Linked DNA regions of Callithrix jacchus. The protein of the gene in region 2 interacts with the protein of the main gene of each other region in a biochemical or structural test. Links are inferred from orthologs where the notes say so. Each region holds a gene or a part of one and is shown on either strand. Other genes may lie near its edges.

The links. The genes of interacting proteins can lie anywhere in the genome.
Region 1: the proteins of PICK1 (region 2) and GRM7 form a complex in vitro, tested with the Homo sapiens proteins (2 studies listed by BioGRID, with this or other methods). The link is inferred for Callithrix jacchus from reciprocal best matches to the Homo sapiens genes PICK1 and GRM7.
Region 3: the proteins of PICK1 (region 2) and PRKN form a complex in vitro, tested with the Homo sapiens proteins (3 studies listed by BioGRID and IntAct, with this or other methods). The link is inferred for Callithrix jacchus from reciprocal best matches to the Homo sapiens genes PICK1 and PRKN.

What each region holds. Positions count from the first base shown.
Region 1 is NC_133516.1:63,898,923-63,902,999, reverse strand, and holds the start of GRM7 (metabotropic glutamate receptor 7), read right to left. Parts: upstream 2,925-4,077; 5' UTR 2,653-2,924; coding exon 2,134-2,652; intron 1,976-2,133; exon of another isoform or gene 1,875-1,975; intron 1,562-1,874; exon of another isoform or gene 1,358-1,561; intron 1,254-1,357; exon of another isoform or gene 1,031-1,253; intron 1-1,030. UniProt on the Homo sapiens protein: G-protein coupled receptor activated by glutamate that regulates axon outgrowth through the MAPK-cAMP-PKA signaling pathway during neuronal development.
Region 2 is NC_133502.1:209,055,373-209,059,780, reverse strand, and holds the start of PICK1 (PRKCA-binding protein), read right to left. Parts: upstream 2,830-4,408; 5' UTR 2,668-2,829; coding exon 2,545-2,667; intron 1,739-2,544; exon of another isoform or gene 1,553-1,738; intron 1,390-1,552; coding exon 1,286-1,389; intron 1-1,285. UniProt on the Homo sapiens protein: Probable adapter protein that bind to and organize the subcellular localization of a variety of membrane proteins containing some PDZ recognition sequence.
Region 3 is NC_133505.1:169,264,443-169,268,711, reverse strand, and holds the start of PRKN (E3 ubiquitin-protein ligase parkin), read left to right. Parts: upstream 1-1,345; 5' UTR 1,346-1,443; coding exon of another isoform or gene 1,444-1,450; intron 1,451-4,269. Other genes in the region: PACRG (parkin coregulated gene protein), read right to left, coding at 715-870. UniProt on the Homo sapiens protein: Functions within a multiprotein E3 ubiquitin ligase complex, catalyzing the covalent attachment of ubiquitin moieties onto substrate proteins. Substrates include SYT11 and VDAC1.

The DNA of each region.
Region 1 (4,077 bases), on a different chromosome or scaffold from region 2:
GAATGGAGAAATTAGTGTAAGGCCAGCACTCCCCCTCCTTGTTCCCCCCTAGCAAGTTGCCTCAGGTTCATACAACAGGAGGAATCAGCTCCTCCTGGAATCTTTTTCAGCAAACACAGTCCCTCAGCCTAATCTGCAATCCCTTTCTTGACTTTAACATTTCACTATTTTTTTTCAGACAGAGACAGACTCATCTGCAGTACTGCCAATGGTAAGTAAAGATACAGGCAGTAAAATAATTTAAAAATTCTAAACACAAAACATTTGTGCCTTTAACCCCAGGGGCTAACAGGGAAAACACTGTAACTTCCCCCAGCCCCCAGTGGTTCTCAGGTAAGGTCTCTGACCTCATCCTCTCCCACTGCACTACTACCTTAACTTGTCTAGCTTTAAGCTCAAAGATGAAGTAAGCACTCTGGGTTTCAGCTACAAATCAAGTTCTTCCTTAGAGCAAGGAACTCAAAGTGATGGCTAGCCCCAAAGCACTTTTGGTTTTCAATCCTTTAAGGATCTCCATGATAGCACAAAGAAAGTGTCAGGGATGCTCAGAGGTTCAGAGGGGCCATGCAAGCTGCAGCCTAGGATAAGCACTCCTCCTGAATGCAAACTTCACACTCCTGGAGGTGATGTGGTGACAGCCCTGGGTCTCACAGTGTCCCCTTCTGAAACCCAACACCTTTCCGGAAAGCACTTGAGAGGGGCCGGTTCTCTACATATGAGGAGCATAAAGGTGCCAGGATCAATGTGTACATCTGAGGAAGAGATTAGCTGGGTTTAGGTACCACCAGGCAGGGAGAGAGCCGCTAGGCATTGGGAAAGGGTCATATTAATACTGAGATGAACCAAGAACTTGGGAATGAAGACAGAGGGGAAAAGGAGGCAAAGATTGAAAGGGAGGGGAAAAAAACAGCAAAGGAGACAGAGACAGAAAGAGAGAGTGATGCACATATAGGGAGACACAGAAGAGGGAACCTACAATCACAGAGACCCTGAAACTCAATTTCCAAACCCCAAAGCCACTCATTCCTACCCAATGCAGATCGGGAGCCAAGGGGCAGAGGCTGTGGGAGTAGGTGGCAAGAGAACACTGCGGTAGAACCCACCGCTCAGCGGCCCCGGATCCACCTTCCTCCCATTTTTTCTTAGTCGCCCTCCGGCACTGGAGCGGGAGGACCAGGGGGCCCTGCTCCAGGCACCTCTCTGCCTCCCAACGGGCGCCTTCGTGCCTTGCTCCGGGAATCCTCCTCCAAACCGAGAATTTGGCTTGGGGTCTGCACCAGGGAGGTGGTGGGTGGGTGGAGGGGGGGCGAAGGGAGGAGGCAGGGAGAGCTATTTGTTTCGCAGTTAGTATGAGCTCATCTCTGGGCTGAGGTCTGAAGTGGCAGGAGTGGAAAGCTGATCGCCCAGCTCCGGCCAGTGGCTGGATTGCAATTGCAATTTAGACGGTGCAAAAAATTGCCGGGAGCAAACCAACTGAGGGTCACGTCTGCGGGCAGCATCTCTCCACCTGAAGAAGGTCCCAGCACCTTAGGACCTTGGCTCTTGCCGAGGCTGGCTACAGGTCAGGAAATCAACCCAAGGGAGGTGGGGACTTAATATCCACTTCTAGGTTAAAGACCAAGCCCTGGATTTAAGAAGTGCCTCCTTAAGATCGTCTCCAAATTTTCCAGGGGAGTGCACGTTTGCAGGATGACTTGGGGACGGTGGGAAGCAGGGGAGTTGAGAAATGCCGGGTTTCCAGGCATCTTCTCATCTTTCCTATTCCATTCCTCTTTACTAGCTCTCCTAGGAGCCTGGCACTTTCACAAGCCTGCTTTCGCACCATATTTCACTCTAATGCAAACCCATTTAAATCATCGCCTTGTTTTTCGCAGATTGCTTCTTGTAAATGGGGCCATAAATCCAGGATGTCAAGCCGGATGGAGTGGAGCGTGGACAGGGGAGAGATGGAAGGGAAATAAACCAAGCAGGGAAGGTATCTCCTTGGGCAGGGTGGGAGGGATTCGGCAGGATCTCCAGGGTGGAAATGAGTGAAGGCTGACCTGACCGAACCACCGGAGTCCAAGTGAGCTTTTAGGGTTAAGGGCGCAGGTAGCCACGGCGTGCTCCGCCCCGGAGGGAGCGCCCCCCTACCTGGAAGAGCCTCAGGATGTTGGCTACCATGATGGAGACCGAACTCCCCGAAGCCCCAATCACTCCAACTACTTTCTCCGGCTTGACGAAAACCGGGGGTTCACCGTTGGTGCAGCGCACGTCGGAGGTGTCCTTCTGGATGAGCGCCTGGACGAAAGTGAGCGACTGTTCGAGCGCATAAGTGTCCCTGGAACAAGTGTCCAGGATCCGCGCGCCCAGCGTCACGTTGGGCAGTAGGTTAGGATCACTGTTGATCTGGTCCAGGGCGTAGAGCATCGCTTCCAGCCTGTGGATCCCGTTCTCCCTCTTGATGTCGCCGCAGGGCACTCCGCTGGGACCCTTGGCGTGCACGGGGAACAGCCCCCCAAGGGTGACGTCCCCCTCGATCCGGATTGAGTGCGGGGCGTACATCTCCTGGCCGCGTGCTGCTGCCGCCAGCGCGCACAGGAGCACCTCCAGCACGCAGCAGGGGAACTTCATCAAAGTCAGGACGCGGAGCAGCTTCCTCAGCTGGACCATGCTGCTCTGGCTGCTGCGGTGGCGGCAGCCGCTGGAGGGGACGGTTGTGGGATCGCCGAGGTCCGGGCCCCTCTGGGTTTGCTCCTCCGGGAAAGCCCAGGGGCTCCTCCAGGCACGAAGGGTGGGGGAGTCGGGGGAGGGGCGACCAGAGAGGGTGAGGGGTCCCGAGGCGCCTGCCAGCCTGGGGCTCCTCGCGCTCTCTGGTTCGCCGGCCAGCACGCCGCGCTCGCGCTCACCAGCGTGCAGCTCGCTCTCTCCTACAGCCCAGCACTGGGGAGAGGGCAGGGATTGCTATCGCTTTAAATGGTCGTTCGGCTCCCTCTCCTCCTCCTCCCACTCCCTCCCTCCCTCGCTGGCTCGCTTCTCTCCCCACCCTTCCCAGCGCCCGCCCTCCCCACTGGTTTGCATCATCACGCAGGGAGGGGCTGCGTGCTGAGGTAAGGGGGGAAAATGGGTGGGCGGCTGGGGAATGGGGGGAGGTTTCCTCAGAATGGGAGTTTCGTGGTCCCCAGGGAATCTAGGGATTGCGAGCTGGGCTCTGGCCCCCAACTCACTGTGGAAGCCTCTTGCCCGCCTGCACCCACACCCAGGCGTTCTGGGCATGGGTGTCATCAGCCGCGGGATAGGGCGAGGACGTTGGGCTGACTGCTCCCAAACCCTAGGTCCGGAGCCTAGGCTCTTAGCTCTGGGAAAACCCCAGGGAGAGGCAGAGAAGCCAGTGAGGGAGGGGCGTGGGAAGACCCTAGCTAGGCTCTACTCCTGAGCCGCCTGTGCTAGTTTTTGCTAAGAAAGCCACACATGCACACAAGAGCCTGATTCACGACTTAAAGACACTTTACCCAAAGGGGTCTCCAGGGCCAGGCGCTGAGCTTGGCTGCAAGGAAACAGAAGCCAAGGGGAGACACCAGGCATGGGAGTGCATCCTTGGTCTTCAGTGGTCACTAGAGTCAGAGCTCTGTGAACTGACGCATTTCCCCAGCACTTCTGTGTCGGAAACCTCGGACGCATCCCTTCTCTTTTCTTCTTTGCAGAGATGGAACAACTGAGAACTCCACAGAGTCTATTTTCTTCTCTAGTACTGACAGGTGTAAGGCTCCCTCCTGTTTCTAGAGATGTATCTGGTGCACCTGGTGACAGTTTTTGCCTGTAAGAAACTGCAGGAAAGAGATGATGGCAGGAATAAGAAAGGGGGCAGGCAGAAGTGTCCCCATAGATTGAGAATGCCTTTCTCTTTCACTGGCTGGGGTTTAGGGACAATGTCAGGATGCCAGAACAGGTTGCAGTGCAATTGAGAAGCTCTTTATGAAAGGTGCCTCCTCCTGCAGGTCCAGACACATTTGGCCTATTAAAGCAACAAGTGGCTCTACTTCCAATACAAGGAAAGTGATTGTCTCTGTCCTTGGGGATGGGAGTGGACTTGAGGAA
Region 2 (4,408 bases):
TGAAACATGCACAGTTCTTGGAGTTCTGCAGATGTGGGATCAAACCCCGTCAAATCTGCCATTTATCAGCTATGGGACTTGGTTTTATTTTTTTCCTCTTTTTTTTTTTTTTGAGACGGAGTTTTGGTCTTGTTCCCCAGGCTGGAGTGCTATGGCACTACCTTGGCTCACTGTAACCTCTGACTCACCGGTTCAAGCAATTCTCCTGCCTCAGCCTCCCAAATATCTGGGATGACAGTCACAGGTGCCCACCACCACGCCCGGCCAATTTTTTGTATTGTTTTATCATTATTATTTTTTTTAAAGACGGGGTTTCACCACGTTGGTCAGGATGGTCCCAAACTCCTGACCTCAGGTGATACATCCACCTTGCCCTCCCAAAGTGCTGGGATTACAGGTGTGAGCCACTGCACCTGGCCAGCTATGGAACTTGGGTAAGTTACCCTCTGTGCATCTCAATTTCCTCATCCATAAAATGGGGATGAGCACCCTTATCCAAGTTCTTCTAACCATGCATGGAGGCCACTAACAGCAACCCAATCCACAGCAGGCACTCCATAAAAATAGGTCCCCCTTCCCTTTCATTCATTCGATCTCTGCGATTTGAGACAGGTTCTGTCCTTGTCACCTTATCAGGCATCTAGGGAATCTGACGGCTACCTGCTGAAGGAGTTAACTATCCACCTCCCACCTCCTCATTACCTCTCAGTTTCCACTATAAACTAGCATTGACTGGTGTTTCATGGTAAGTACTTGCGCTGATTCACTTATTCATTCAAAAAACATTTGCTACCAACCTACTGACATCAAGCCCCTTACTAAGCGCTGAGCGCAGAGAAAGGCATTGCACTCACTCCTTGATCCGAAAGAGGATACATTGTAATGGGAAGACAAATCTAATTTCTGAAAATCTACTAATAACCTATGTTGGGAAGGAAGGTATGTCTACAACATTCCTATCCAACCTTCAAAACCTGGCTCAACTGCCACCTTCTCCATGAAGCTTTCCTTGATCACCCCAGCGGAAGCACTGCTCCATCTGCTTTCTCTCCTTGTCACCAAGTCATGCTAATAGTGCCCTTATGGAACCGAGCTGTGATTATCCCTTTAACTGTCCATAGTCCCCTACAAATAGTGAGCTCCTGGAAGAGCAGGGTGCACTGCTGCTTCAGCACAACACCTGCTCCACCGCTGAGACGCAAGGGTTTGTGGGACTGGCAAGTCCAGGGAAATAAGGGACTTGGGGTTCCCATGCTCCTGGAACTTGGGGGAATAAAATACTCACAGTTTATCCTCCTCGATGTCATAATCCAAGTCTGCAAACATGGTTCCGAGAGTTGGAGCAGGCGGGCTAACTGCCCAGCTCGGTAGGGGAATAGGGGACTGGATCTGGGAGAGAAAGGAACATAGGATTTAGGGAACCGAAGTGCCTGAATGTCAACACCACCCCTTCCTCCACCACCCTCATACGGGACAGCAGGGCCCTCTTCTTCCCCTCTGGAGTGGGATGGGGCAATCTCCGGGTAGGGGGGGCTGGGTAGGTGATTCTTACTAGGTACAAGGGGGGACTCAAGGCCAGGATGATGGGCTCAGATCCCAGAGCCCGGCCCAAGGGTCTCCAGGTCCTGGGGAGCTGCCTCTGTTGCTCACCGGAAGCGTCAGTCCCAGAGCCGGGTTCGGGCCAGGCTGGTACCTGAACCCACCTGCCGTTCCACCTGGCGGTGGCCGCGACTATCACGTCACTTCCAGTAAGACGCGGAAGTCCCGCCCTTTCCCCGCTGGGTGTTTGCCCCAATCCCTGCAGACAATCCTTCCCTCACCCGCTCCCGGGACTCTCGGAACCAAGAACAAGAACAAGTATTGGCAGAGGCTCGCTGTTAGTAGGAACAAGCGGAAACAGAGGAAAAGTCTGGACAGGCTGACAGCGTCTAACCCCGCCCTTTGCCCTGACGCCGCCGCCATCTTGGGAAGGGCAGGGTTTGTCCCAGCTTCCTCAGCGGCACTCAGGGACCCGCGCCGGGTGGCGGTTGCCAGGGCAACGGAAGCATCTCTGAGCTGGGGTTACCTCCCGCGAGGCTCAGTGGAGTATAAACCCCGAGACCTGCCCTTTCACCCCTTAACCACCTGGGCCTGTGACTCCCCTACTAGAAAGGCCCTTTGAGGTCCCAGCGCATCCCAGTTTCGCAGGCGAGGAAACTTAAGTGCCAAAGAGCCGGCAGTGATTTTGTGCAGAGCCACACGCAGTTGGTATAATATCTGGACTGTGGCCTCGAAACTCCCGCCGCCTAGTCTAGTCTAGGGATCTTTGAACATCCGAACACTAAGCAGAGAGCCGGGAGTGGTGTATTCAGTGGATCTTGCTATTAAGATTGGACATGCCCCCTTCCCTCTATGTGCTTGAGTTTCCCCATATGTAAACTAAGGCCATATGGTCAATGCTTTCTATGGTATATGGTGAAACATTTCTCACCCCCCCCATCTCCTTCCTTAGTCCTGAGGAGCAGCCACCCTGGGGTCCCACGGAGGGTCACAGCCCCCATGTACCTGAGGCTCGGGAAACGTCATCAGTGCTCCCCTGTCGAAGCTTTCTCTCCAGCCTCTGCTGCCACTGCTATTGTGTAAAGTGGATTCCCTGCGGGAGGCTGGATCTCCCAGAGCCACAGCCATGCCTCCACCTCATCCCGACAGCACGGGGCCAGGGCCATCCAGCTGGCTTCCCTAGCTGCCCCAGGGGCCACAGAGGAAAGATGCAGAAGGATGGATATCCACATATCCCACGGGCGATGGAAGCCCCACCCTACTCTCTCCTTAGGGAGCTAATCTGAGTCTGGACAGATGTGTAGAATGCCGTGATAGCAACAGCCTTCCCACGTGTCCACTGCTCTCCAGTCAGATCACTTTCACAGGATTTTCAAGCTCACCACCACCCTGTGAGGAGAGACCAAGTCTTGCCAGCCACAGTGTGCAGGCAAGGAAACTAAGGCCCAGAGAAGTCTCTTCCTCTGGTATCCTAGTGGCAAGACTAGGGCTGGGACAACCAAGCTCTGTTTCCAGGCCAGACTTTTGGTTTTAAAAAGCAACAGTCTAAGGCCAGGCATGGCGGCTCATACCTGTAATGTCAGCACTTCAGGAGGCCCAGGCACACAGATCATCTGAGGTCAGGAATTCAAGACCAGCCTGACCAACATGGAGAAACCCTGTCTCTACTAACAACACAAAAATTAGCTGGGCATGGTGGCACGCTTCTGTAATCCCAGCTACTCAGGAGGTTGAGGCAGGAGAATCGCTTGAACCCTGGATAGCAGGAGTTGCGGTGAGCCAAGATTTCACCACTGCACTCCAGCCTGGGTGATAGAGCGAGACTCCATCTCAACAACAACAACAAAAAAGATTAAAAGGAGAAACAGGTATGAGTGCTTTGTAAACAATTTGCATGGCACAGCTGTCACTCTGACCTCAAAACCCCCTACCCACTCTGGCCCCTCTTCCCAGGTGGGGGCAAGATGCCCCTTTTTTCTGCTTCATCCATCCCTTACCTCCAGGCCCCGATCTAATTTGCCTCCTCCCGGCAGTGTCAGCAGACAAGCTTAGCTCATATATGTTGCTCCCTTTCTGAGCTCCTGAGTATTTGCTCTCTGAATCATTCATTCAGCAGTTTGCTATGACTTGGCCTCGTGAGATCGCTCCATGGTTTTCCTGCGCCAATTCTGCGATGAGTAATTTATTGCATGTCTGTGTTTTGTCTGGAAAGGCTTTTTCTCCCTTAAATTTGGGGCTCAGATCTCGTAACTTGACAAATTATAAACTGCTTCTCCCTGTCCCTCTTTTTATTGTGTTCTCTTTCTCTACTTTTTCTTTTTTTTGAGACAGAGTCTTGCTCTTTCGCCCAGGCTGAAGTGCAGTGGCACAATCTCGGCTCACTGCAACCTTTGCCTCTTGGGTAAAGCGATTCTTCTGCCTCAGCCTCCTGAGTAGCTGGGACTACGGGCACCTGCCACCACACTCAGCTATTTTTTTTTTTTTTTTTAAGATGGAGCCTCGCTCTTATTGCCCAGGCTGGAGTGCAAATGGCGAGATCTTGGCTCACTGTAACCTCTGCTTCCTGGATTCAAGTGATTCTCCTGCCTCAGCCTCCCGAGAGGCTGGGGCGATAGGCGCCCACCACCACACCTGGCTAATTTTTTGTATCTTTAGTAGAGACGAGGTTTCACCATGTTGACCAGGCTGGTCTTGAACTCCTGACCTCGTGATCTGCCCAACACGGCCTCCCAAAGTGCTGGGATTACAGGAGTAAGCCACTGCACCTGGCCTAATTTTTGAATTTTTAGTAGAGACAGGGTTTTACCATGTTGGCCAGACTGGTCTCAATCTCCTGACCTCAGGTGATCCACCTGCCTCAGCTTCCCAA
Region 3 (4,269 bases), on a different chromosome or scaffold from region 2:
TGTATATAGCTAAAATATCTGTATGTATTTTTAATCTTTTTTCTCTAATGATATCTAAGATATTTTATTTTTATTACTACAAATAATAGAGACAAATTTGAATTGTATTAGTAGCAGAGATAAATGAGCTAAAGCTTGTATTGTTTAAAGCACATCATCTAAAAAGGCCTATCAGGAAACAGTGTTCATATTAAGTTGGCTTCCAGTACTCTAACAAGCTGACATCATTTTGTAAGAGCCAAGTGTAAAAGTAAATGCTAGGGTATTCTAAAATTTCCTAGGTTGAAGAGAAGAAATTTCTTATTATAGATTACTTGAGTTTATATCAGCTCAGTTGTATATCAGCTCATGTTAAATTTTGCAAGAGTTTATGATTTCTAAGAACTCACCTACTATAAGGCTCTTCGCTGAGTAGGGATAGTTAGGAATTAGTAAGTAAGGGGGATTTTTTTCCTGGTGTAAATAGCGCAAACTGTGAGCTATCGGGGAGGTGCTTATAAATGGGCAGAGTACATCATTTGCCCAAGATTCTAACAACTTAGCCTGCCCTCCACACGCTGTGGGATACCGTCTGCTACTTGCCAAGTAATTGCCATTTTTGGCAAAGACCACCCAGGGCTTGGGCTCAGAGTCCATCCTATGGCTGGCCAACCTCTGTAAATCTCGTGTCCCCTGATTCGGAGCAAGTGCATTTAATTCAGGAAGATCACTTACGACTGAGTTTTTCATCATGGCTTTGACTGTGAAGCCCTCAGAAACCAGGGAGTGAGGCTGGTGCACCGGGAGAGGCTGTTGTGCCAGCAGCTTAGTCCTCTTCGGCATCTTGTCTGGGCATTTGTTTAAGCTCAGGGTCTCTTTTTCTGCCACCATCTTCCTAGAAAATATCTTGTTCTCATAAAAAGTGTAGTAAAAGAATCAGTGGATTTTACGGATGTGAGCAGGAGGTCGGGAAAAAAATGTCAAAAGGCGCGTTAATGGTAGAAATTCAACCCTTTGTAGTGCCCAGGTTGATCCAGATGTTTGGCAGCTCCTTGGTGAAGGGAGTTTAGGGGAGGGGCGGGGCGGGAAGAGGGCAGGACCGTGGCTAGAGCTGCAACAAGCTTCCAAAGGTAAGCCTCCCGGTTGCTAAGCGACTGGTCAACACTGTGGGCGCAGGGCTCTGCCCGCCTCCCCTGTGACGTAAGCTTCCTGGGCCTGAAGCCGGAAAGGGCGGTGGTAGGGACGTGGGGAGGAGACGTGAGAAGAAACTACGCATTAAAACTACGACTCCCAGCAGGCCCAGGGCCGCGTACCGTCCGCGCGTGCGCATTGTTAGGGCCGGGCGCGGGGGCGGGGAGGCCTGGACGATTTAACTCGGGAGAGCCGCTGGTGGCAGGTGCGGGCGGTTGCCCGTGCGAGCGTAGGCCCCCTGTCTGTCGCGCAACAGCCACCTGCCCAGTGACCATGCTAGGTACGTGGGTGCCTGCCAGGTACAGCCTCTCTGCGCCGCCCCGCGTCCCGGTTCGGCGCCACGCCCCGCCTCGGCCGACCGGACCCCCGTTGCCAACTGTCAATGACGGAGCCAAAGTGCCCGTGCCTACCCCGGCCCACGCCGCTGGGCTCCCCAGTTCACTGACGCCGGCCTGGGGCCCCAATGTGTGTGTTCCAAGCGCCCCCCGTCCTCTCCCGCTCTGAGCGTTACCGAGAAGACAGCCTCGCCGGGGACGCCAGTCGGCCCCGCATCCCCTCTCCTCGCTCGCGGTCCCTCGGACCGTGCGGGGTCCCGAAGCCCTCGCTCCGCCGCCGTCCCCCCTCGCCTTCCTCCATCCCCTGGCCGGCGGTGGTCGTGCGGTTCAGTACCCATCGAGACCCACTCTCTGTGGGGCTCTTTCAGGAAACCCCAGCAAAGCATTAAACTCTAATGGAAGGCACCTGGTGAGGATGGTTGGGCTCCACAGAAACTCCTCCAGATGGATCTAAACTTCTTGCCCCTTCGAATGTTTCCTTTTCAACCTCTCGTTGAAGGTCTGAGGTGAAAGAAAAATTAAGAGTAAATAATTGCCGAGATTACATCTTCTGCCTTTTGCAAAATTACGATTTTTTTGGTAAAACCCGGAATGACCGAGCTGCAATTTTGTAAACGAAACTTGGTGGCTATCAGAGTTGTTCATGAACACTTGAAGTGTGAGATGAGCAAAGGTCCTGTCTTCCAGGGTTGTTAAGGCAAAAGTTACTTTAGGGGCTAACCCTGAACATTAATGGAAATGCACCATATGTTTAGAAAACAATGCTATGTGAGATGTCCTTATTATGGAGGTTTCTCCACGTAATGTATGGAGGGTTTGGTGAGCTCGTTTAGGGCTAATTCCTGAGGAGTGTCACTTACAAAACACTTTGGATTGCAGTAAGTACTTTCGGAGTCCGATGCGGTCTGTCCAGAAGAAAGATGAAAGGTGGATTTATAAAATATTAATCTTTATGCACTGAAAATACTTCTCATATCTGCTTTTGTTTATGAAGTTATTGTTAAAATGTAAACATGCTACCCATTAGTGGGAGACTCAGGTCAGGTAACTGGCATTGTCTTTGTCTCTGTGGTAAAACAAGAATGTTCTTCAGCTTTTCTTCCCTTTCTATCATGGTCTGACTTTTGGTGAATGACTTGAAGGTTATCAAATTATGAAAAAATTACAAATTTTATGAGTTTTCCTGAGCTCTTTTTAGGTGACGTCTACGTCAGATTGACTTGTAATCACAAATCTGAACTGAATCAGAAAACCAAGTAGAAGAGGTTTTCCAGAATCCGTGCTGTCAGTAGTCTACGGGAAGAAAATAGCCTGTCTTATTTTGAAGACAGTTAAACACATTTTATTTTAATTCAACTTAATCTAGTGCACAAATAATTTTAAGAGAAACAACCTTATTGTAAAGCTATATGAAGACAGGCACTTAAAATCTAAAGAACATTACCCAGTTATAAATTATTACCTAATAAGTTATATAAATAACTTTATTAGGATGAAATATGTTTGGGCAGTTCTGTTTAGTTTTATCTGGAATTCTTCTTCCAAGAAGGAAGAAATACGATCTTTGGAGCTGATGATTCAACAGTTATCAATTACCAGTAATGACTTGGAGACTAGAAGGTTGGTTTTAAAAAAGTTTTCTCCGACTCCAGCTGTTGCTTTAAATAGTGCAAGTAAGTGTGCATTAGAACATAAATGACTAAATCCATGCCTGCCTTCCTTAGGAAATGTACATTACATAAGAAATTGTGGACAGTGTGCAATACATTATTTTATTCAACTAATTGCATTGCCTAATTCTGAAATTAGACACCCGTCCCTCTTTTTTTTTTCTTTCTTTTCTTGAGACGGTCTGGCTCTGTCACCCAGGCTGGAGTGCAGTGGCACCATCACAGCTCACTGCAACCTCCAATTCCTGGGCTCAAGTCATCCTCCCGTCTTAGCCTCCTGAGTTGCTGTGACTACAAGTGTGTGCCATGCCTGCCAATTTTTAAGTTTTTGTAGAGATGGAGTTTCATTGTGTTGCCCAGGCTGGTCTCAAACTCATGGGTTCAAGCAGTTCTCCTGCCTGGGCCTTCAAAATGCTGGGAGTACAGGCGTGAGCCACTGCACCCAGCCTCATTAGACACATTTCAATAAACATCTGAATGGCCGGTTTGGGATTTAGGTGTGGAGAACAGTGCTAAAGGTAGGTGAAAGTGACAATGATTAAAAGGAAGCCCTGGAGTGATGGATTTTGTGTGTTTGTGAAGATAATTCAGAGCCAGCAAAGACAATGTAGACTTTACCCAGTGATCAGTTGGAGATCAAAATCTAAATAGTATGTATCTGTGATTGTTTTTCTGTTAAAGGTAAGAGCTTTCTTGAAGCTTGCTCCTTTCAGATCTACATTTTCTCTAAGTGCTAAACTCGCCTTAATGCAAATAATACTCTTCCACTTTATTTAAATTCTGGCTTACTTTAAGGTGAAACATAAAGATGCATTTCCTGGTAGAATAGGAATAAACAGGACTGACTGTGACCTCACTGCTAATGAAATGTACCTTCTGTTGACTTTCTCAAAACCAAAGATTTTCTTCTTGGCATGAAGACTGTTTCAAAAATACTTACATTTCCCACGTGGATTATGATTGATACACTGAATATTCTGATCCAGGCAGCTACAGAAACATAATTTAGTTAAAGTCTGTTAAAAATTGTGCCTTTGTGAGCTGGGCGTGGTGGCTCATATCTGTAATCCCAGCACTTTGGGAGGCCAGGGCGG